2 linked regions of the Rattus norvegicus genome follow. The protein of the gene in region 1 purifies or fractionates together with the protein of each later gene. This does not show direct contact. Links are inferred from orthologs where the notes say so. Each region holds a gene or a part of one and is shown on either strand. Other genes may lie near its edges. The genes, in order: Hexb and Sod1.

What was found.
Region 2: the proteins of Hexb (region 1) and Sod1 purify together in Homo sapiens (affinity purification with mass spectrometry; 3 studies listed by BioGRID and IntAct, with this or other methods). This does not show direct contact. The link is inferred for Rattus norvegicus from reciprocal best matches to the Homo sapiens genes HEXB and SOD1.

The regions. Positions count from the first base shown.
Region 1 is NC_086020.1:30,215,626-30,226,393, reverse strand, and holds the end of Hexb (beta-hexosaminidase subunit beta precursor), read left to right. Parts: intron 1-1,188; coding exon 1,189-1,318; intron 1,319-2,745; coding exon 2,746-2,926; intron 2,927-3,582; exon of another isoform or gene 3,583-3,612; coding exon 3,613-3,699; exon of another isoform or gene 3,700-4,997; coding exon 4,998-5,070; exon of another isoform or gene 5,071-6,251; coding exon 6,252-6,426; exon of another isoform or gene 6,427-6,780; coding exon 6,781-6,871; exon of another isoform or gene 6,872-7,016; coding exon 7,017-7,121; exon of another isoform or gene 7,122-7,527; coding exon 7,528-7,594; 3' UTR 7,595-7,786; downstream 7,787-10,768. Other genes in the region: Gfm2 (ribosome-releasing factor 2, mitochondrial), read right to left, coding at 8,431-8,568, 9,176-9,358. UniProt on the Homo sapiens protein: Hydrolyzes the non-reducing end N-acetyl-D-hexosamine and/or sulfated N-acetyl-D-hexosamine of glycoconjugates, such as the oligosaccharide moieties from proteins and neutral glycolipids, or from certain mucopolysaccharides.
Region 2 is NC_086029.1:42,936,829-42,948,003, reverse strand, and holds the start of Sod1 (superoxide dismutase [Cu-Zn]), read right to left. Parts: upstream 5,182-11,175; 5' UTR 5,089-5,181; coding exon 5,017-5,088; intron 3,222-5,016; coding exon 3,125-3,221; intron 1,629-3,124; coding exon 1,559-1,628; intron 871-1,558; coding exon 753-870; exon of another isoform or gene 751-752; intron 1-750. UniProt on the Homo sapiens protein: Destroys radicals which are normally produced within the cells and which are toxic to biological systems.

The sequences.
Region 1 (10,768 bases):
TTTGTGGTTTAAAATGTTTTCAGCTTGTTGCTTAGCATTTTATTTCCATACGTCTTTGTAGTTGTTATAAATATTAATCAGATTGTTACTATCAATGTTATTATGAACATAATCTCTGGGAACGGCATACATAATTTAGAAGCTTAAGGTAGAAGACCTGAGCAGTTCATGAAGACCAGTGAAGACATCCAGTTGCATGGTAGAATATTTATTTTAAATAGGTTTGAAAACATGTAAATGACCTTTTTTTTCCCCCTAAAAACACACAAAAAGTAGGATACGTTTTTGTTAAGACAGGATCTCAGGTCCATGCATCTAGGGCCACAGAGGCACTAAGTTCTAGACAGGCTTAGTCAACATAGTGGGTTCCAGGACAGCTGGGACTACACAGAGAGGCCTCTCAATAGCAAAACAAGAACCAGTGACTCCTCTCTCTCAGGCTGGCCTTGAACTTGCCGTGTAGCTGAGGATGGCCTGTTAGTTTATTTCTTGTAAATTATTGTTATTGAAGAACCAACGGAAACCAACAGAATGTGGTGTCCCTGCCTCTCTGCACTGCCTTGGTTTGGCTGGTTACTTCCACAGTATCAATCAACGCACGCCCTTATATTTTGACCTGGGTTTAAAGGTCAAGATGATTTCAGCAATCAGAATCTGTACTGTGAGACGTGTGCCAAACCTTGTCTTTGTCGTTATTTACAACCGATATGGAACACTAATTCGTCAACTGACACAGAGAGACTGAGTTAATATTTAAACACAGGGTTGAGGATTTAGCTCAGTGGTAGAGCACTTGCCTAGCAAGCGTAAGGCCCTGGGGTTCGGTCCTCAGCTGGGGGGGGGGGGGATTTAAAAAATATTTAAACACAATTAAGTTACTTACTGTTTTTTTTGGGGGGGGGAGAATGGGTTTTTAGGTCATTGTAATTAAAGAACTTGAAAGAGAAAAGTCTGTGTTTTATAATAATGGGTGAGTTTTGATTCTGAACTTGAAAAGGGCAGTGTCCCATCAGTGAATCCTGAATTCAATGGGCAGAAATTCACACCATTTCTATTGATTTCTGTTCTGAAACCACGAATCACCCAGTGTTAGGTGGGTCTGTTTAATACTCGGTGATAACAGAGAAACGGTCCAGCAAAGTTTTCAGGACCAAATCCATCTTGCACATCTTAACTTAAATATTACAGGGAAGCTATTCTTTGTCTCATGTCTATACACCAAACGACATCCATATGGTACTTGAATATGCCCGGCTCCGAGGGATTCGAGTCATACCAGAATTCGATAGCCCCGGCCATACACAGTCTTGGGGGAAAGGTAAGGAGATTGACTTACAGGTTGGAAAGGGGGTCTTTGCCTCTTAACAGTTTGGTGGTTTTGTTTTTAACTGTTGTTTGTGCAGTGGGAGCACAAGTGCTACAGATGCAATGAACTATTTTGTGTCCCTTCACCGTCACTGTCTAGGTCCTGCCTTGAGTATCACAGTTGGGTGAGGCAGAACACTGCATTATAAGTAGAGCATGGTGACTTAACTCCATGTTATTGATTGACATGCACGCTTTGGGGAGAGCACAGAATGTGCTCATAGTTCTGGCAGAGAGAACAGCGAGAGGAAAGGGATGCAGAGAGAGTATGAGTGGGAACGGCGTGGAACAAATTCTAGGAGCCACCTGTTCATGTGTGCTTCCTGATTTTGTCATTTGGAGGTGAACCTCCAGTTTCCCCATCTATAAAAGAGGGCTAACATTTCTGAGCACCAAATAAACGACAGAAAGTATACAGCATGGGACCCAGCATTTATAATTGTTAAGTACATAGTAGTATCATGGGAAACATGGGAAACAATGGGAACTGAATTGGAAAGGCATCACTGAGGTTCCTGGGGACAGTTGTGGGCTTTAGCAGCATGCCCTGGACACCAGTACAAACCTCTGAGTGGAGAAGTAACATGATTCGGGTCCCACTTAGGGAAAACCTTTGTGAAAGTAACAGATTGGAAAGAGAAGACATGGGGGTCCTACACTGGGAGGGTGAAATGGAAATGTTGCATTCAGGGAACTCAGTAACCACCGACTCAGGACTCAGGAGTTACAGTGTCGAGGCCCACAGGCAGACCAGTCAGGAAGCAGAGACAAACCGAGAGTTTGGGTTTTGTTAGATCATATTGAGAGGCAGCTATGGTTTCTATTTGTATGGAGCAGAGAATTTAACTATGCATTGGAGTTCAAGAAAAAATTTGAGAGTCGCTGGTAGTCTGTGAAGAGGATAAGCCCTCAAAGTCTGCTAAAAGCAGCAAAGGAGACCTGTGAAAGCAGCTCTTGTCTTCCTGGGGAGAAACTAAGTGAATACTGGCAAATGCGGTTGTCTTCTCTCTATAAAATTTCTATAGTGTCAACAGTATAATGTCCAGATGCTCAAGGGTTACAGTGTTTCCTGTTATAATGGAATCAGAGTAGGTCATACTCAATAGAAACTATGCTTTGATATTGATCTTTCCCAGGTTAATATTATGATTGAGGAGCCCCAGGAAGCAGACGCACACGCAGATGGCACAGTACGCTGTGCAGCTGAGTTACACTTGGATTAGTTTGTCAAATGCATTGTTTTACTATTTTTTCACCTCGCTTATGGGATTTATTGGGATTCAACACCATTGTAAGGGGAGGACCATCTATAGCATAAAGATGTGCAAATTCAGGTCTTCGTGATTGATGTTCTCATAAAAATAAATTGTTTTCTTCTAGGTCAGAAAAACCTTCTAACTCCATGTTTCATTCAAAAAATTAGAACTCAAAAGGTTGGACCTGTAGACCCAAGTCTAAATACAACATACGTATTCTTTGACACATTCTTCAAAGAAATCAGCAGGGTGTTTCCAGACCAGTTTATCCACTTGGGAGGAGATGAAGTGGAATTTGAATGTTGGTATGGTAACCCTAAACCTTTATTTTTTTTCAGTTTTCGTTCTGAAAGTATCAATATACAGGATCCACATTAAAAGGGGGTAATTTGTGGTAAAAATCCTTGTAGGGCTTTAATTACTAAAATATGTGCATTGGAGAGGAATAACAAGGTAAGGCTTAGGGAAGAAAATCAAGTAGGAGCTGGGCATGTTGGCTCATGCCTATAACCAAGGTGAAAGGCAAGCCTGAGCTATAGAGTAAGACACTGACTCAAGGGAAAAAGAAGAAGGAATCTGTAACCAGTCTTGGTGGTGCGTATTTAATCCCTCTGCTCAGGAGGATGGATGTGGAGTGTTTCGAGTTCAAGGTCAACCCCGACTATAGTGTGATTGTCTCAAGAAACCTGAAAAACTAGGATGAGATGAGTTTTGGTGGTGGAAAGGGAACAATAAGTAGGGACACAGTTTCAAGTAAGAGTTCTCAGCTTTGTAAAGTGCCTGGGATGGAGGGTGGACATGGAAGGAAAGCCTTTGGGGTTTGTTTTTTTCTAATGGGAAATCATTTCTGGAACAAATACTTTGCACTAAAAGATTCAGACTCCCTTTGAATACCTAACATTTTGTATGACTGCTGTTAGAGATGCATGCTGCTTCAAATAATCAGCTGGGCACATCAAAATGTTTATAACATCCCACTGTTTTATTTAAGGGCATCAAACCCAAACATCCAAAATTTCATGAAGAAAAAGGGCTTTGGCAACAATTTTAGAAGACTAGAATCCTTTTATATCAAAAAGTAAGTCATCTGAAAGCCTAATCACCACTGTTTTCATACAAGTCCAAGCTGCGACTTAGCTCTCTGCTTTACTTCTCATCTTCCCCACTGCTTGCAAGAGTGGAGCCAAGAACACCTAGGAGGCAGTAAGCATTTTGCAGTAACTACTGAAATAGAGGGAGAAGCCATGCGCCTGCTAGGAGCTCTGGCTGCCCTTTGTCTTTTGCACTATCCAGGGGCTGGAACTCACTCCCTTTGTCCTGAGTGACCTGGGGCATCTCTGCTCCTTACACAGTGCAGTGACATTTCCAACATTCCACAGCCAGGGAATTGGTACTGAAGTGGTGGCTGCCTTGTTAGAAAACACAGACAGACCACTTCCCAAAAGTTTGGTGGACAGTCTGTTCTCTAGGAATCAGCACATTTTTCCCCATAGGGACCAGACCACCCTTAGGCATCATGGGCCATGTGGAGTTGCAAATCTCTTTTAAAAAGAAAAAGGGAAAGCTTCGCAGCTCTACTCTGCTCCATCCATTTGGGATGCTCAGAGTTGACACCGTTCCTATTAAGCTTCTGTGTGACATTCAAGTGTTTGTTACTGCCTAAATGCTAATCTGTGCCAGCTAACAACTGACCAGTTTCCTTTCTTCCAAGAAATCTTTGGAAACCCAAGAGATTACTAGAGTTCTGTTGGGACAGTTTTATGAGTTTGAGACCCCTCCCTATTTCAGAGACAGTACCTACTACACTAGGTCCCAAAGCATGAGAGTTGCTATGTGAATTGCTACCCAGCTTTACTTGGTTCTTCTATACCAGTGGCTCTTAACCTGTTGGTTGTGACCCCTTTAAGACCATTGGAAATATCAGCTACTTACATTATGACTAATAACAGTAGCAAAATTAGTTATGAAGTAACAACAATAATAGTTTTATGGTGTGGTCACCACAACATGAGCAACTATACTAAAGGGTTGCAGCATCAGGAAGGTTGAGAACCACGGTTCTATAAAGAGGATAGGAAGGAAGTTCCGTGTTGAGGCTGTTCGCCCGAGGCGTTCCCTGAGGGACCTCTATTCATGTGTGGCAGGGTCTCACAAGTCATTCTGGGACAGTCTGAGCTTGATCAGAAGTGCAGCTACATCTGAGAAGAGTGAGTGTCTCATTAGTGGCTATGCGCACCATTAATGAGAATTCTGCTACACTGTTTAAAGAGGTACTATAAGGTATAAGGGAACATGGCATGTTCTGGGTAGAAAACACACAGGGTTTAGGAGAGCTAACCTGGTGATCCAAGTAACAGTCCACGTCTTCAATGTTAGGATTTTGGATATTATCACATCCTTAAAGAAGAGCTCCATTGTTTGGCAAGACGTTTTTGATGATCAAGTGGAGGTAAGAACCGTGACCACTCTGTGGTAGGGCTGTTTGCCATCCCAGCCTGAGGACCTGACTGGGACACCTGTTTTCAGAGTTGAATGTTCCATCAGCAGTCAGGACAGATGGACAGAGGAGGGCTGAAGGGCTCATTGTTCTCTGTTTGCTACAGACTCAAGGAGATGAACATTATCTCAGTCTCCAACAGACAGTGCAGTGCAGTGGTCAGACAGGACCAAAACTGATCAGCCATCAGCCTGCTGACATGTGTGCCTGTAAGCTGAACACTGCCAGGCGCCGGGACTTGCTAGCCTCCAGTACAGCTCCAGGTTCAGTGAGAGCCTTCCTCAGGGGAATCAGGGGCTCAGAGCAGGTGGCCAACCTACCCATGCACACGCACACACACGCTGCTGTTTCCTTCTCCCTTCTATCCCCAACCCCTGCTGTCTTACAAGTTGAAGTAATATGAATTAATTTCCTTTTTGCTTTTAAGAGCAAAACACAACAAATGAGCTTTTAAAAAATAGTGTTAGTAGTTTTAAAATATGTAAAATCAGGGCTGGAGAGATGGCTCAGTGGTTAAGAGCACTGTCTGTTCTTCCAGAGGTCCTCAATTCCCGGCAACCACATGGTGGCTCACAACCATCTGTAATGGGATCTGATGCTGTCTTTTGATGTGCAGGCATATACACAGGCAGAATGCTATATACATAATAAATAGGTAAATCAGTATACACTTTTAAGGAATATTTTTTCTTTTTTTTTTTTTTTCTTTTCTTTTTTTTTTTTTTCAGAGCTGGGGACCGAACCCAGGGCCTTGCACTTGTTAGGCAAGTGCTCTACCACTGAGCTAAATCCCCAACCCCGGAATATTTTTTCTGATAGACTTATCTCTCACAAGACCCCAGCATTACCTTTCTAGGGGGCTGGTGACAATCTCATTGTTCCAAGTTAAGTACAACATCAGTGTGGTAGAAATAGGTCTAAGGTACAAATCTTACCCGTCTCTGAGGTATTAGCTATAGACAGAAGTTAATTATTCAGCTTTAAAGGTTAATTTGAATAACACATGTCACTGACCATTAGCAAAAAGAAAAAAAGGATGTAGGATTTTTCTAAGATCTTAGAAATGTATGTTTACCAATCATGATCCCATAAACCTGTGAGACTGTATTGACTGGACCTAATGCCTTTAATAGCTTCAGCCGGGCACGGTAGTTGAAGTGTGGAAAAGTGAAAATTACTTAAATGAATTAGCACAAGTCACAGCATCCGGCTTCCCTGCCATCCTTTCTGCTCCTTGGTACTTAGACCTGATCAGCTACGGGCAAGACTGGAGAAACTACTATAAAGCGGAGCCCCTTAACTTTGAAGGTAAGCAAAGCAGACATCATGGCTGCTGGTTTCTTCCATAACTCCCGTTCTCTCCTCCTAAATCTAAGTCTTAAAATGAAGCTAATATTCCATCTTATGATTTCTGGCACACCACTAACAGGAGATGCAGGGAAAGGTTGAACGCAGTGTCCACACGAGTCTGTGTAGGACCTAGGAAAGCATCTCTACCACAAGCCCACCACAACCCTCCATTATGTTGAATAGCACTGAGCCAGGGTGGGAATAAAGGTTCTGCTGCCTACAGGAGGGTATGGAGCGGTGTGGTAGGATGACTCTAGGAAGGAAACCAGTGTTGTACAGCTTAACCTCTGTCCCTTAACCATTGTAACGCAGGTTCGGAGAAGCAGAAACAACTTGTTATTGGTGGAGAGGCTTGCCTATGGGGAGAATATGTGGATGCAACTAACCTTATTCCAAGACTATGGTAAGGCATTCAAGGGGCGCCGAGTGGCCTGAAGGCTGCCTTGGCTTTTATTATACATGTATGCAGGAGAGCTCTTGAGAATCTCCTTATATAGGTGACAAAAGAAATCTAAACTGCTTTGGGAGCCACATATTTTAAATTTCAGGCCTCGGGCAAGCGCTGTTGGTGAGAGGCTCTGGAGCCCTAGAATTATCACCAACCTGGAAAACGCCTACAGACGACTGGCAGTGCACCGCTGTAGAATGGTCAGGTGAGACACTTCCTTCCCGATCCAGGATCTCGTACTGAAGTCCAGCATTCAGTGTTAACTAGTTTCTTCAGCTTTTTGTTTTGCAATAAATAAAAATGTTACCCAGGAACTAATGATTTAATTGGTAGAAACTGCACTCATTGTTGCAGGAGAATAACCCCTGTAAGATGTATTTTAGAATAACTGCCATCTTAAAGGAGTTAGTAGCTTGGATTAGAATATTAAATCACAGGGTTGGGGATTTAGCTCAGCGGTAGAGCGCTTGCCTAGCGAGCGCAAGGCCCTGGGTTCGGTCCCCAGCTCCGAAAAAAAAGAAAAAAAAAAAAAGAATATTAAATCACTGCGAAAGGTGGGGGATTTGCTAAGGTGCCACCCATCTAAAACATCTCTGTCTATCTGTCTACAGCCGCGGAATAGCTGCACAACCTCTCTTTACTGGATATTGTAACTACGAGAATAAAATGGAAAAGTGACAGAAGTCTACAGCACTACAGCTCTAATCATGTTGATTCTGAAATCATGTAAATTAATATTTGTTAGGCTATTTTTTAAATAAACTATCTTTTTATTGATTGAATCTTTCTATATCTGAATCAAACACTGAATACTGACATCTTTTATGTGAGCAGCTTAAAAAAAATAAAAGAAAAAGCTTTGCACTACTACTCAGAACTCCAGCACTGCATGGTACTCTCATCACTGCAATGGTTAAATGAGAAATGGTGGGCCAGAAAGAAGGCTCAAGTATTTAAGAACACTTGTTCCTGCAGAGGACCAGAGTTCAGTTCTTCATAACCACACCATAATTCCAGTTTGGTGGGGGAGAGGCATAACATCTACATCTGACCTCCACAGGCACCAGGCCTCCATGTAGGCAAAAGACTCTTGGTTCCCAGGGAGCGTGCTGTTTGGGGAGTTTAGGTGGCGTAGCCTGAGGAAGTTCATCACTAGGTGAACTTGGAGAATTCACTGCCTGGCCCTACATCTAGTCTACACTCTACTCTGTGCTTGAGGTTAAAGAAGGACTATCTCAGCTTCCTGTTGAGAAAAGAAACCCTTTTATAAGCTGCCCTGACTGGGTTATTTTATCACCGCACCAGAGAGGTGAGAGACAACCAGGGCCCAGCCGTGGTGCGTTACAGCAGAGCAGGTTCAACAGTCTTAGGATGGCAGCTCCAATGCCATTCTTCCATGTCTTGTTCAAGTTCTTTCCACAGGGCGAAGCAGCAGTTTACCAGCCAGTTAATAGAACAGCATTCTCACTGAGAATGAAGCTGGCAAGTGCCCAGCTTTCCCCGTTTCCAAGGGCCTACAGCATACGGGCCAAACCACTTCTCTGGCTGAGCAGAGTCCTTTGGTCTTGTGGACTCATGGCTTGATAAGTAGACAGCTCCAAGGCAAAAGTAGCTGAGCCTGATGTCAGGGTTCGAAGCACAGTTGAATATCCCTAATGAAAAAAATTCAGTTTGTTACTGTACTTAATTTAAGCCTTCCATTTCTTACATCTTGTGGATTATCTTTTAGCCCATAGAAGAGAAGGAGGTGGTAAGTACCACCACCTCCAGAGAGGTTTTCAAAATGAAGGAAAAGGGAAATACTATGGCAAAACCTTAGCATGGGGAAGGCCAGCTGTGTACGTGTTCTGAGGCCCCTGGTGATTAACTCTGTCCTTCCTCCTTGCCTGTCAGTATCCCTCATGCCTTTCCTAGGGGCAGAAGTGCCCGGTTGGGGAAGAGAATGATGCTGGCCCCAAAACCTAGCAGAAAAGGAAAGATGCATGGAAGCAGGGTAAGACAGTTAACAGACTGACACATTTTGGCACACTGTACCTTAGTCTATGTGGTCCTGTGGTTGGAAGTAACCTGCCTGCAATGCAGTGTTCCCGAGTTCTCAGCCACCACTCAAGGCCAAGGTTTCTCATCCATGGTGGTTGAGAACTTGGTGTGCATTCTCTACACCCAAGTGTGATGCCCACAGTGTCAGTGATTCTAGCTTCACTCACACTACGTCTCCTGTAGTAAACAATGTGTACATTTCAAACGCAAATAACTCACCATAATTTCTGCTAAAGGAACAAATCCTAGAACAACTTTGTTGTCTTGGCGAGTCTGAATTTCCTGAATGTTCCCTCTTCTTTGTGCCAAATCGGCCAGGACAGGGCTGAGGTACTCTCTACTCACTGTGACCTCAAGACTCATCAGAGGTTCCAGCACCTGCTTGTCAGCTTTCTTCAGGGCCTAAAGAGATTTCATAAGATGAACAAATTTCTATTCCAGTTCAAGGAAGATGTAAACAGCCTTGAACTACTTCCTGTATTCCTGAGCAGAGGGCTCTGGGAAGCTCACTGGCTTTAACGTCCCCCAGAGAGCATCGCATAAGGAACCAAGAAGTCAGTACTTGCACTGGTGGCCGCATGCTGGAGACAGCAGGAAAGGAGAACACTTTAACAAGCCAGCAACAAAGCCAGTAGTCAAGACTGTCTACAAGCAAGTCCTTTCTTGTATTACGGTTTATAATCTTAGACTTCATACGCCACATAAGGAACCTGAGAATGTTTCAAGATATAATAATCATGTGGGGAAAAGGTAAATCTAAGAGAAAAAAATGCTACCATTAGAGACTGGACTCCCTGAACTGTCCCTCCATCCTTCTTTCTGAACAGTACCTCACTGCAGAGCTTCAAAACCAGATTCAGTGTGGCTTCAAGAGCAGTTCCAGACCTTCTCTGGGGACTCTGGTCCTGCCCTTCACTGGCCTGTGGTGGGGCAGCCTGTTTACACTCCAGTTCCCCAGTGTGCCCCAAACATGGCTCAGCTTTTCTTTTCCAAGCACTTCTCTGGCCTTTCTTATTTGCTGATGGCATTAGCAGTTTTCAGTTTGCTTATATATACTTCTCTGATTTCCTTTTCCCAGTAAACACCAGTATTCCTATGCCTGTTGCTGGTATCCTAATTCAGACATAGTCTAGTTCCTGTCTTTCCATGCCAATCACTTCTGTGCTCTGACTACACTTCACTGTTCAAAACACTTAGTCTTCATTGTTCCCAGAACACAGTCAAGCCTTCGTTGGTGCTTGAGGGTTTCACGGTCACCCCCTTTACTCTCCAGTGCTAGACTAGGGTACTCCCACACTGGGAAACAGCATGCGGGTTGATCAGCTCTGGTAGGTCACTAAGGCAAGAAGCAGAAGGCCACGTGATTCAAGGACAACTCAGGTGATAATGCCTAATACTTTGAGAGGGAAGATGCTTAGCCTAAATCTGCTGTTCAATAAGATGGATTTAGTTTTTTAATGAAAGCAATATTATTTGAACAAACTCAAAAATTTGAAATTAAGGGTTAGAGAGATGCTCAGTGGGTTAAGAGCATTGAGCTCAACTCCCAGCCACCACATGGTGGCTCACAACCATCTGTAATGGGATCTGATGCCCTCTTCTGGAGTGCAGCTGTACATAAAGATAGAGTGCTCACATATATAAAATAACCTTTAAAAATAAATTGAAATTAATATTAGATTTCCATTGTCTTTTACATTAAAGCCCAACGTTAAGCTGACGTCGTCAGATCTATCCACTTAAATCCACCAGGCTTGGAGGCTGGAAAGATGGCTTAGTGGTTAGAGTATTGGGTATTCTTCCACAGGACCT
Region 2 (11,175 bases), on another chromosome or scaffold:
AGGACCCAAATAACTACCAGGCACATGCTGATCTTAGCCCTCACCCTCACCCCACTGTACAGTAGTCATTCTTACAAATTTCTCTATCAAAATCTCTTGGTGAGTGAACTATAGGCCTACACATAAGAGGCAATTCTAAATATCTTTACTTAGCAACAAGATTTTAAATTTTATTTTTAGAACATTTATGAATGATTGTTCTGCTTCACCAATAGGGCTGAAGAAAATTCTAAGGATAAAGGGTCAACTGAAAGGAAGTGCCTACTGAAAAGTTAGCTGCCCGAAGTGGGCAAGAGCTTTTACTACTTGGTGTTCTGCATGAACCAGATTCATCTCCCGAGGGTAACTTGGGAAGACGGCTCCCATATGGTAACCAAGCGATAACCTGCAGACTTGAATACTGACATCCATCGCAGATTTTAAGCTCAACGAAATGATTAACTGTAAGGGGGCAATCATGGCAAGAAAATCCAGCTGTTTTAAACTAAAGACTATTGTATCCTCAACTCAGATCCAGTCTGATCAAATGTAACCAGCTTTCTACCGCACTTCAGCAGAACAGCGTTCTTAACTGACCTAGGCAAATTAATTCTTTACTATTACATCCAATAAAATAATATTTTTTCCTATTCTGAACTCTTACCAATTTATGTGATCTTTTAGGAACTAGTTTAACCACCACCACGAAGTCATGGAAAGGTACATAACTATGTTAGAAGAAATCCTACATCTACTACTATATGGAAACTTACCACCATAGTACGGCCAATGATGGAATGCTCTCCTGAGAGTGAGATCACACGATCTTCAATGGACACATTGGCCACACCGTCCTTTCCAGCAGCCACATTGCCCAGGTCTCCAACATGCCTAACATTAAAACAGCACCAGGTGGATAAGCAATGATATCTATTTCACATCAATAGAGTTCAATAGCTAAATTCACATCGAAGTCAAATGCTATGAGTGGATTAAAGAGTGCACATACACTATCAAATATGATGGCTTTTCCAGACAAAGGTCTGGAAACACAAATTTCAAAACAGGTAGCCAGGATACCTTGACACATAGCTCTTCCAGTTTAAAGGAGAGAGCCACAGTCTAGGACTTTCGAAAAGGATGTCAGCTCCTGATTAGCAAAGGTTTGCTCCCAGGCCTCCATTCCAAAAGCAAGCTAGCCCCTCTTTAAATGTAGGACTTTCCTAAGGTTTCACATACAAACGGAATCTCAACTAGTTTTTATTATCTGCATTAGTATATTATACAATGATTTACTTTGCTAGTGACTGATAGTACTGTTATCCATGATATTTTCTGTATTGGTTCCTTTTGGCACTTGTATTAGTTCATCTTCAATAAATGCTACAAAACTAAATCACTTAAGAGTCCACATTTGTCAGCTCCTTCACCCAATATAAACTATTCCAGTACTTGGGGATGTGGGAGTTGGGTGAATGGAAACATACAAAAGAAAAGGCAGTGAGACCACTCAGTTCTGTCTTCAGGTGTTTTCCACAGACCCCTCTCCACCACCATGCATAGAGAGAATGCTGCTCACCTCTCTTCATCCGCTGGACCGCCATGTTTCTTAGAGTGAGGATTAAAATGAGGTCCTGCAGTGGTACAGCCTATTTACCAGAAACCAGCAGTCAGATTATGAAGTAAACCTCTGTATGCAATGACATCGGAATTCTTACAACTTCCAACACAGCAAACATGGAGCTGGTATGTGCTGGAGTGATACAAACAGGAAGCAGCACCCTGGTACAAATAGCTGGACTATATGGCCTTGCATTTTCAAGCTACCCGCTTTTTCACTAGACTGTCATGTTTGTTTGTTTTGAGATTTGAGACAGGGTCTCACTACCACAGCCCATGATATCTGCAGTTAATGACCCTCCTACCTTAGCCTTCCAAGTGCCAGGAGCATGGTAGTGTCACAGCATGTCTAGCTCTGGTTCCTTCCTCTACTGGAACAGAAGCGACCTTTAGTGGCACTTCTAAAGTTAAAGTCCCACATTTAAAGATCTTTGCTTTTAAGATCATGATAAAAACACTTATCTTTCAAGACCTTACACCACCAAACAGCTCAGCCATCTGGCTTTTACTTGGGGCAGACAGATTTTTAGATTATCCCCACGTGTCAAGGCTGCTGTGCTTCTCAACTCCAGGTGTAAACAGCATTAGAGGTGTACATGTGGGCTAAGGGACATCATTCACAAGGGACATCTCAACAGCAACAACAACTCAGGAAATAGGACTTACATAGTTTACAATTTCTACCCAGACCAAGAAATAGGTACAGGGCAGGATTCTGGAAGGAACTTAACAAACCAAAGCTACCAGGCCAGAGGCAAAGCAACTTGATTGAACTTTAGTAATTATCCGAATGGGTCAAACACAAACATAAGTAACTGTAGGCCAAATTACTGTACATTGCACACAGGTTGATGGCCTTTAACCCTGCACATCTAAGACTAAATGGTTTAAGCTCCAGCACAGATTCCAGGCTAGCATGCACTATGTGGGGAGGGGAAAGCAGGGGAGAAGAGGGAAAGGAAGAAAAGGCTCTAGCAACATGAATGAGGCTCTTAAAAGATTATAAACAAACACAGATCATTACTCCAATATGGTAAAAGTTCACTAAATGCAATGTAAGCCACTATATTTTCTGACTTGATTCCAATCCCAAATATAAAAAATTTTACTCTAAGCATTTATATTGAATCTTCAGTTTTTGTCACTTCTGTCCCACTATGCCTCTCGTGCATAGCTGTCCTTAGACACTGTGCCTAAAGCACCCACCCTCAACCCCCAGCTCCAAACACCTCAAAGGATTATCCAAAATAAGGAAGGTGCGTATTTGTTTCTGTATATTAAAGTCAAGCTATAATAATCACATTTAAGAAAATTTACCCTCACCTTCCCACTTAAGGAGTCAAGAAATACTCGATACTAACTAAAATACTTTTGTGGCTATTTTCCGAGGTTGACCTAAGTGGTTATTTTAACTTAATCTAAAAGAAAAAGAAAAAAATTGATGGTTTTAAATGGTTAGTAATTGGTCCTGACTCAGTCCCATTCATCTCACTAGTCAGCCAGGTAGAGATAGATTAAGACTTACCTTGTGTATTGTCCCCATATTGATGGACATGGAACCCATGCTCGCCTTCAGTTAATCCTGTAATCTGTCCTGACACCACAACTGGTTCACCGCTTGCCTTTATTTAAAAAAATACAAAAATTAAGACATCAAGTTTGTGTTAATACTTCTGAATCACAGTAAAAGGCACAAGTCAAAAAACAAAACAAAATCAAACCTATGTCCAAATCCAAGTAGACCCATTTCCTCCAGGGTGACTCTAGAGCTGCTTAGCTCTAGGCCTCTCCCTCCCTACCCATCTTCCCTAACACTTGTTTCCAGATGCACGTGTGCAGACACCTGGACTCAACAGCACTTGAAAAGCACCCAGAGGAACAAAAGGGGGCAGCTCAATGTCAGAACTAGGGAATGGATGGCTACTGCACTGTGTCAGGCTTGATTCTTTCAGAACATTGGCTGCCCAGAAACCTCTACTCCACATTCAGTGATGTTTATCAGTTCCCATAATTTTATCCAGTAGCCAGAAAATAATTGTGTCCTACTGCCTGTGGGGATCCATTTGGGTCTAACCAGAGCTACTTTTTAAAAAAGTCTCATTAGGCATCCAAATCTAGAGAATTTGCTACTTAACAAAAAAGAAAAGAACATCCAAAATTCAAATTTAGTATTACTTCAGAAATTGTAGCAACAGGGAGAAAAGGCAAGACGCAACCAACTGCAACAAACAAGGACACTCATACCGGACCTTTCTACTTTAACTCTCCAACGTTTTCAACAAAATAAGGGACTAGGAACTTTGAGTAGAAAAAAACTGATTTTGAAAAGTTGGCAACAGTTTAAATCAAACAGTTTTGATAGTCAAGTTGTTACAGCTGCCAACCTGGAATGCTTAACTATCGTTTGATCGGGTACAAAGGGCAGCGTCACCAAAGAATGCTGCAAGCTGCTCTGGGAAGGTGGACACTGGGGTAGACCTAGCTAGTCTTCAGCTTTCTCAGGGTGGGGGAAAAGCCCTGTCTCACAGTGAATTATGTGGGAAGAAGAGAAAGACAAAAACAAAAAATTTACACAGGAAAACAACAAAATACATTTAAATGCCAAGAAACTGAGACTAGTTATGAAAAACTCTAAATTCCCGTTATCAGTTCTCCTCATAAAGGAAACACTTGGATTCACTATGGTGTCGGTCTCCTCACATTTATGTAAACCACTTTAGAGAGTACATAACGCTCATTTATCAAATATTTCTCTCGGGATTAAAAGGAGTACAATGTTAACCCCCTAAGGCTCTGAACACGCTCTTAACCACACAAATATCTTCCTTGTGACGCATGTGTTTTTGCAGAACTGCAGTAGTTTCGAAAATATTTCTGTATACTTTTCAAATTGTGCTCAGAGACTCGCTGTCGTAGACAACAACCAGAGTCAGGTCTCTTTCTTGGAGCTCTTGGTGGCAAAACAACTGCCCAAGGCCATCTCTTTTCTTTCCCCCTTGCGGCACGACCCTGACCTAATATAGCCAGGGCTTGGCTTTAAAATGCCACAAATGCGTTCTGCTTGCTGCGTTAGTCCGGTTTGGCACCACCAGGTTCAAATATTCTTACAACAAATGCAGCCGGTGGCCACAAGGGTCTGAGCCCCTGTGGGACAGGGACACCGGAAAAGCAGCAGCCCCAGAGGGATAGCGGATGCCAAGCCCGCTCTCTCGGGCCGGCCCGGCCACTCGGGGGCGCGAAGAGGGACCCGCCCGGAAGGCCCCGCGGCGCCCCGGCCTCCCTCTCCCGCGCCCGGCCCCTGCCTCAAGGCCGCGGTGACTCAGCATTTAACGGGCTCAGGCCGCGGCGGGGGCGTGGCGTGCTCCCGCACAGGTGCCCCGCGTCACCGCGGCCTGCGCCCAGCGCCCCGGGCCTTGCCTTCTGCTCGAAGTGAATGACGCCCTGCACCGGACCGTCGCCCTTCAGCACGCACACGGCCTTCATCGCCATGCTTCCCCGGGAGACGCGCGGCGGCCTCGGAACCTGGGAGAGCAAAAAGCAAGGAGACGACAGAAGCCGCCGCAGGAAACGAAGGTGCAAAACGAGGGCCCAGCGCCGCGGAGCTTTTATATGCCTGCGCCTGGCCACTCCCACCTTGGCAGGGAACCAATCGCTAGCCGCGGTCTCTGCCTACCCTTCCTGAAGTTCCCTGGCCGCGGGGCACGTTGGGGGCGGGGCTGAGGGGAGCGCCAGCTTCAGGAGCTTGCGGACTGAGAAAGTTCCAGAATCGAGACAGAGCTGGGAAAGTCGCTATTGTCTTCTAACTGTGACGTCGGCCGAGTCGCGGCGGAAACCGAGAACCTCGGCGAGGCCTGCGTGCGCGCCTGGAAGGTCTGAAGCCGCTCTGTCTAGAAATGCGGATTGCGACTGACTTTGCAGCGCGCCGCAGTTGCTGTGTGAAAGTTGGGGTGAGCCAAGATGGATGCTCGGTGTAATATGTGTAAGGCCCATGTTCTATCTCCAGACACACCTCTGTGTCTCTGCAGGTTTTTTTTTTTTCTCTGCAGGTTTCTTTTTTTTTGGGGGGGGGTTCTTTTTTTCGGAGCTGGGGAATCGAACCCAGGGCCTTGCGCTTCCTAGGCAAGCGCTCTACCACTGAGCTAAATCCCCAACCCCTCTCTGCAGGTTTCTAATTCCTGGGCACATACCACGTTACTTATTCTTCACTAATGTTTTTGTTACTGGTACTGGGGATTTGACATACACACACCCCTCGTGACAGACATGTGCTCTGCCAGTTAGACACACCTCCTTTTAAAAATATCACACCGTGTATACCTTTGGCTATCACAGAACTCATTATGCAGACCAGGCTGACCTCAAACTCACAGGGCTCTCCCTGCCTCTGCCTCTGCCTCCCAGTTGCTGGGGTTAGAGGCGTGTACCTGGCTTTCTTTTAACTTTAGAGATAGGGACTAAACTTCCATTTGAGATCCTCCTGTCTCAGCATCCCCAATAACTAGAATTGCTCGTCTGCCCCACCATCCCCAGCTGGTGTTACTTGCATAGTAACATTCTGTATCCTCTTGCCTGTTTGAAGTGGTTCTCAGACAGCCATGCGCTGGAGAACAAGATGCCTGATGAAGTCATTTGTGAAACCTCCATGCACTGGGTGAGACATAGTGCTTCAAGGAAGATATTTTCTAAGACGGTATGGAATGAGCAAAAGGTACAAACTACAAAAAAAGGTGGGGAGACATCACCATATATTTACTTGAGTTCTCAGAAATGTCTAGAAAGATATATGGGGAGTCCCTGGAGCCAAGAAAGGGTATCAGTAAGAGAGAGAATTCTTAACTAAAAACAGAATTGTCTCTTTTTAAAGTTGTTTCTTTCTTTTTTTTTTTTTTTCCGGAGCTGGGGACCGTTAAAGTTGTTTCTCAACTAAAAAAGAAAACTGTCTCTTTTTAAAATTGAAATCTCTGTGGTCTCCCAAGAGCTCATGCATAAAACTGCATGTTCTGCTACACTCAGGAGGCAGGATTTAATTCTGAGGATGGCAAAATACCGAAACCTAACTCTAGGCCAGAGAAACAGGAGGAACTGATTGGCTACACTGGGATACAGTTACTTATGTAGACCCCTGGGCTCTGCTCTATGACTATCCTGGAGAGTCTTATTTCTTTCTTTTCTTTTAAATATGTCTTCAGACACACCAGAAGAGGGCATCGGATCCCATCACAGATGATTGTGAGCCACCATGTGGTTGCTGGGAATTGAACTCCAGGACCTCTGGAAGACCAGTCAGTGTTCTTAACCGCTGAGCCATCTCTCCAGCCCTGGGAGTCTTACTTCTATTTACCACAGACAGAAAAGGTACTGAACAAACTGAAGAAATGACAATTCTGCCCAAATTCAGTATGGCAGATAAACAAGTTTATTTGGGTTACTTAGGGGAGCATAGGTGGACACAGACACTACACCACAGAAGAGCCTCATCTCTCAGCAATTGCTAACCACTTGCATGCCTTCAGAGAGGGTAGGGCCTCCTGGGTAAATGTTAGTTGGTCGGATATTGTGAGGGCCTGGGAGTAGAAGTCACTCTTACAACTCGCTAGGCAGTGATGGTCACATATCCAACTGAAGGAAACAGGCACATAGCCGGCCCAGGTGTGTCTTCTGTGAGAGATACACAGTTCACATTTTTTCTTGAGGCACTCCAGTCACGTTTTGTCATCTTTCAGATACGTACCCTGCCGCTTCCTTACTGATCACACTTAAGGCCGTATTAGACCATTGTTAAATACGTCTATGTAAGGTAAAAGGCTTACATATCTGTGGTTGTCCTTATTCTCACTAGTATTCTCCAGATGACTTGCATGCATACGGAAGAATTACATAAGCACAAATCCCAGCCAAAGGGCCTTTGTCCAAAGCCAGACTTTCTTTGGGTTCCAGGAAGTTAGAGAGTTGGATTTCAGTCCATTGTAAACCTGCCGAGAAAGCAGGCCATGGGTACAAAGGGCCTCCCTCAGACAATGATTACTACTCTTGAAGCGCTCAAACTGAGCTGCAGTGGTATCTTGTTTGGAGGCTGGAAAGCCAAGCAAGGGCTTCCCATTCCACAGGAGTAGAGAGTTGGGCCGCCTTCCAGGACAATGGGGTCCCCAGCAGGGCTATAGAAGTCTTGTACCCTTCCTAGGGCAGCATCTGCCCCATGAAGCCCAAAAACGTACCTCCACCTAGGACCTCACCTGTCCTCCAAAAACAGGATTTGAGAATCTTAATGGTTGGATACTTAATGGTGTTTGTGTTCTACAACCTTGGTGCTGTTGACATCTTTGGCTAGACAATGTGGCAGTGGCCCCGTGCATCACAGGATGCTTGTAACATCACGCCTGCTTCTCACAACACACAGGAAGCATCCTTCCCTTTGCCCCCAAGCTCCAAGTTAAGTTGTCCCATTTTGTGACAACTGAAAATGTCTCCATACATTACCAAGTCGTCTTTATCAGAGCTGGGTGTCTAGGGGTTAGACCTGGGTCCTTGTACATAGTAACCATGGGTTCTACCACTGATCTGTAACCCTGGCCTGAGAACTTCTGTTTTAGAACACTAATGCCCAAATCATTGCCCTATATGGTTTCCAGGGCCTAAACAGACAAAAAGGAGAGTGTCACTAAAGATACACAGCTGGGCTGGCCATAGGCCTCTCAGTGTGATGAAGAACCAGGAGTAAGGAAAGAGAAAAGGCCAGAAGCAAGCAGCGAGCTCTACCCTGCTACATACACTCTGCTACCCAGAACTCAAAGTCCAAGAATTCCAAATTTGAACTTGCCTTTTGGTGACTTGCAAAAGTGTATTTGTTAAGGCAGGATGCTAGGATGTAATTGTGACATATGACATCGGTTTGGGGGAAGGCATATGTCATCTAAATGTTTAATGTATCAGACAATGTATCCCAACTTTGATATTCCAAAGTCCTATGGCTTCGAGCTATCCTGACTCTTAATCTAGTCAGTCCAGTTATTTTGATCTGGGATTAGGAAGGAGCATGGATAGCGTGAAATGTTTCCCCCTGTTCCAGACTGCTTCCACTGAGAGCCGTCATCTCCAGAAATCAAAGTCCTACAGCAGTGTAGTCTCCCACCCTGTTGGTTACACGCTGGATTGTGGCTTGAGTCTGATTGTCAGAGTAAGGGCAGTCCATCCAGAGACACTGGTTTCCTCAGGAATGGTGGTGAGATGTTTTTGTGGTACTGGGATTGCTCAGGGGGCCAGGCAGGTGCCATGCCATGAGCTCCACACTCTGCTCTGTTCTCACTTCTTACTGATTTGCCCAGACCAGCCTGGAACTGAGCTGTAGTCCAAGCAGCCCTTAGTCTGTGATGTTCCTCCTTTAGCCTGCAGAATGGCTAGATTACCGATCTATTCTGGCTTGACTTAGTAGGCTTCCGTGTGTCCTGAGAGTTGCATGGAGTTACTCTGTGGAGTAAGGGGTGGGTAGAGGCAGACCAGGAGCTCACGCTTACATTTCCAGTTTTCCTCCTCCTCCTGTGGAGACAGTTCTTCCCAGTCCCCTTTTGTTTCACCTTTCTCCTTCCCTAAAGAACTTGTCTCCTGTGACTCAAACCGTTTCTGTCTGGGCAACATTCTCAGTCATTTGTAGATTTTGTGTAAATCTGCAGATCACAAGCCTGTGACAGAGGGATTGTCACCAAGGCCTTTGTCCCAACACCCTTGGTAAGAACATTCTTTTTTTTTTTTTTTTTTTTTTTTTTTTTTTTTTCTGGAGCTGAGGACCTAACTGAGGACCTAGCAAGCGCTCTACCACTGAACTAAATCTCTAACCCCAGAACATTCTTTTATACGAACTGCAGGACAATATCAAAACTCCAAAGATGAAATGTACACGGAGATTGATATCTCCTGTTGTAAAGAGTTTTCTGTAAGCACAGGTTTTTCTTCCCGGCCCCAGGCTCTCAGAAATAATGACTCTGAAACTCAAATATATTTACAAACACCTAGGCCACATAGCTAGGCGTGTCCCCCAACTATCTCACAACTTAATAATCCTTTTTTTCTACATTCCCGTTATGTAGGTGTTTACCTGGTCCTTAGTTGCATGCACCCATCTTCCTCTGTGTCTGGGTTGAATCTCCCCGTGCTTGAATCTGCCCACCAGATGCCCCACCTTCTATTCTAACCCTTCCTATAGGGTTTAGTTTTTTGGTTTTTTGTTCTGTTTTGTTTTGTTTTGTTTTTTGACAGGTGATGTATCCATTCATACACAAGATATTCTCACTACACTCTTTTAAAGCTAAGGGACAAATACAGTCAGAACTAGAGTACAAATTAGTCAAAAGTGGCATTAGTCCTACCTGCATACATTTAAATGTAATTTTAAAAAACAAAAACAAAAAAAAAAAAACCAACTAAACATCTGAGTGGTGGTGGTGGCACATGCCTTTAATTCCAGTACTGGAGAGACAGGGTTGGGAGGATCTCTAAGTTTGAGACCAGTCTGGTCTACAGAGTGAATTCCAGAACAGCCAAGGCTACACAGAGAAACCTTATCTCTAACCCTCCAACTCCCTCCCTCCCTACAAAAAAAAAACCCAAAACACCTAAACAATTAAAAATAATCATAAGTGCTAAGATTAAACCAGAGAGGCTTGAAGTATCTGAGACATTTTTGAAAGTTAGCAATGAGAGGGTTGGGGCAGGGAGATAGGGGAGGAATGGAGACAGGACAGGACAGGACAGAACAGAACAAAATGAATTCACGTTGCTAAGCAGGAGTAAACACACTGGCCTAGCAGTTTACAAATGAATTGAGATTTAGATGTATAGTTAGGCACCGTGGCAATGAAACCTATCTAAGCTCTCTGTTCGGAAGTCCCAGTTTGGTTTCGGATGGTCAGGAGCCCCTGCATCACCTTGTATCAAGCTGTTAGAGGCACCTGGGTGGAGCAGGTGTCAGCCTGACTGCACAGCAGAATCCCTGTAGGAACTTAGGCCTCGCTAAATTAAAACTTGAATGTGTGTATTGTATTATAAATGCACATTACATTGCTGTAAGATAGATAGGAAACTGTCAGTGCAAGCCGAAACAACAAAAGGAAGTTACCAACCCTCATCACAGGGACCGGGCTGCCACACTGCACTTCGAGTATGTGGGATGCATGTCAGGATGCACACATGCCACAGCTTGCGTATGAAGGACACAGGACAGCTTTGTAAAGTCGGTTCTCTTCTACCTTTACATGGGTTGTGGGGCTGGGACTGAGGTCAGCAGGCATGGTTCCTCACACATGAAAAGAAAGTTTTACATGATTAAGCAAGTGTAACATAGATTGTCCCAAGTGCTCAAAGGCAGTTTCTTCCTGAGAGGTTAGGCATGGTGGGCAGTTTAGCAGAGACAGCCTGACTATGATTCCCTATGAAGATGGTCACTCCGTATCTGTGTGTGTGCATAGAAAGGAGAGGGGGTGAGGCTGGAGGCAGAGAAGCCTTTGGGGAAGCATGATAAGTTAGGGCCTGGCCTGAAACCGTTACTGGGAGAAAGGCAGAGATAATGAAACTGGAGCTCACTGT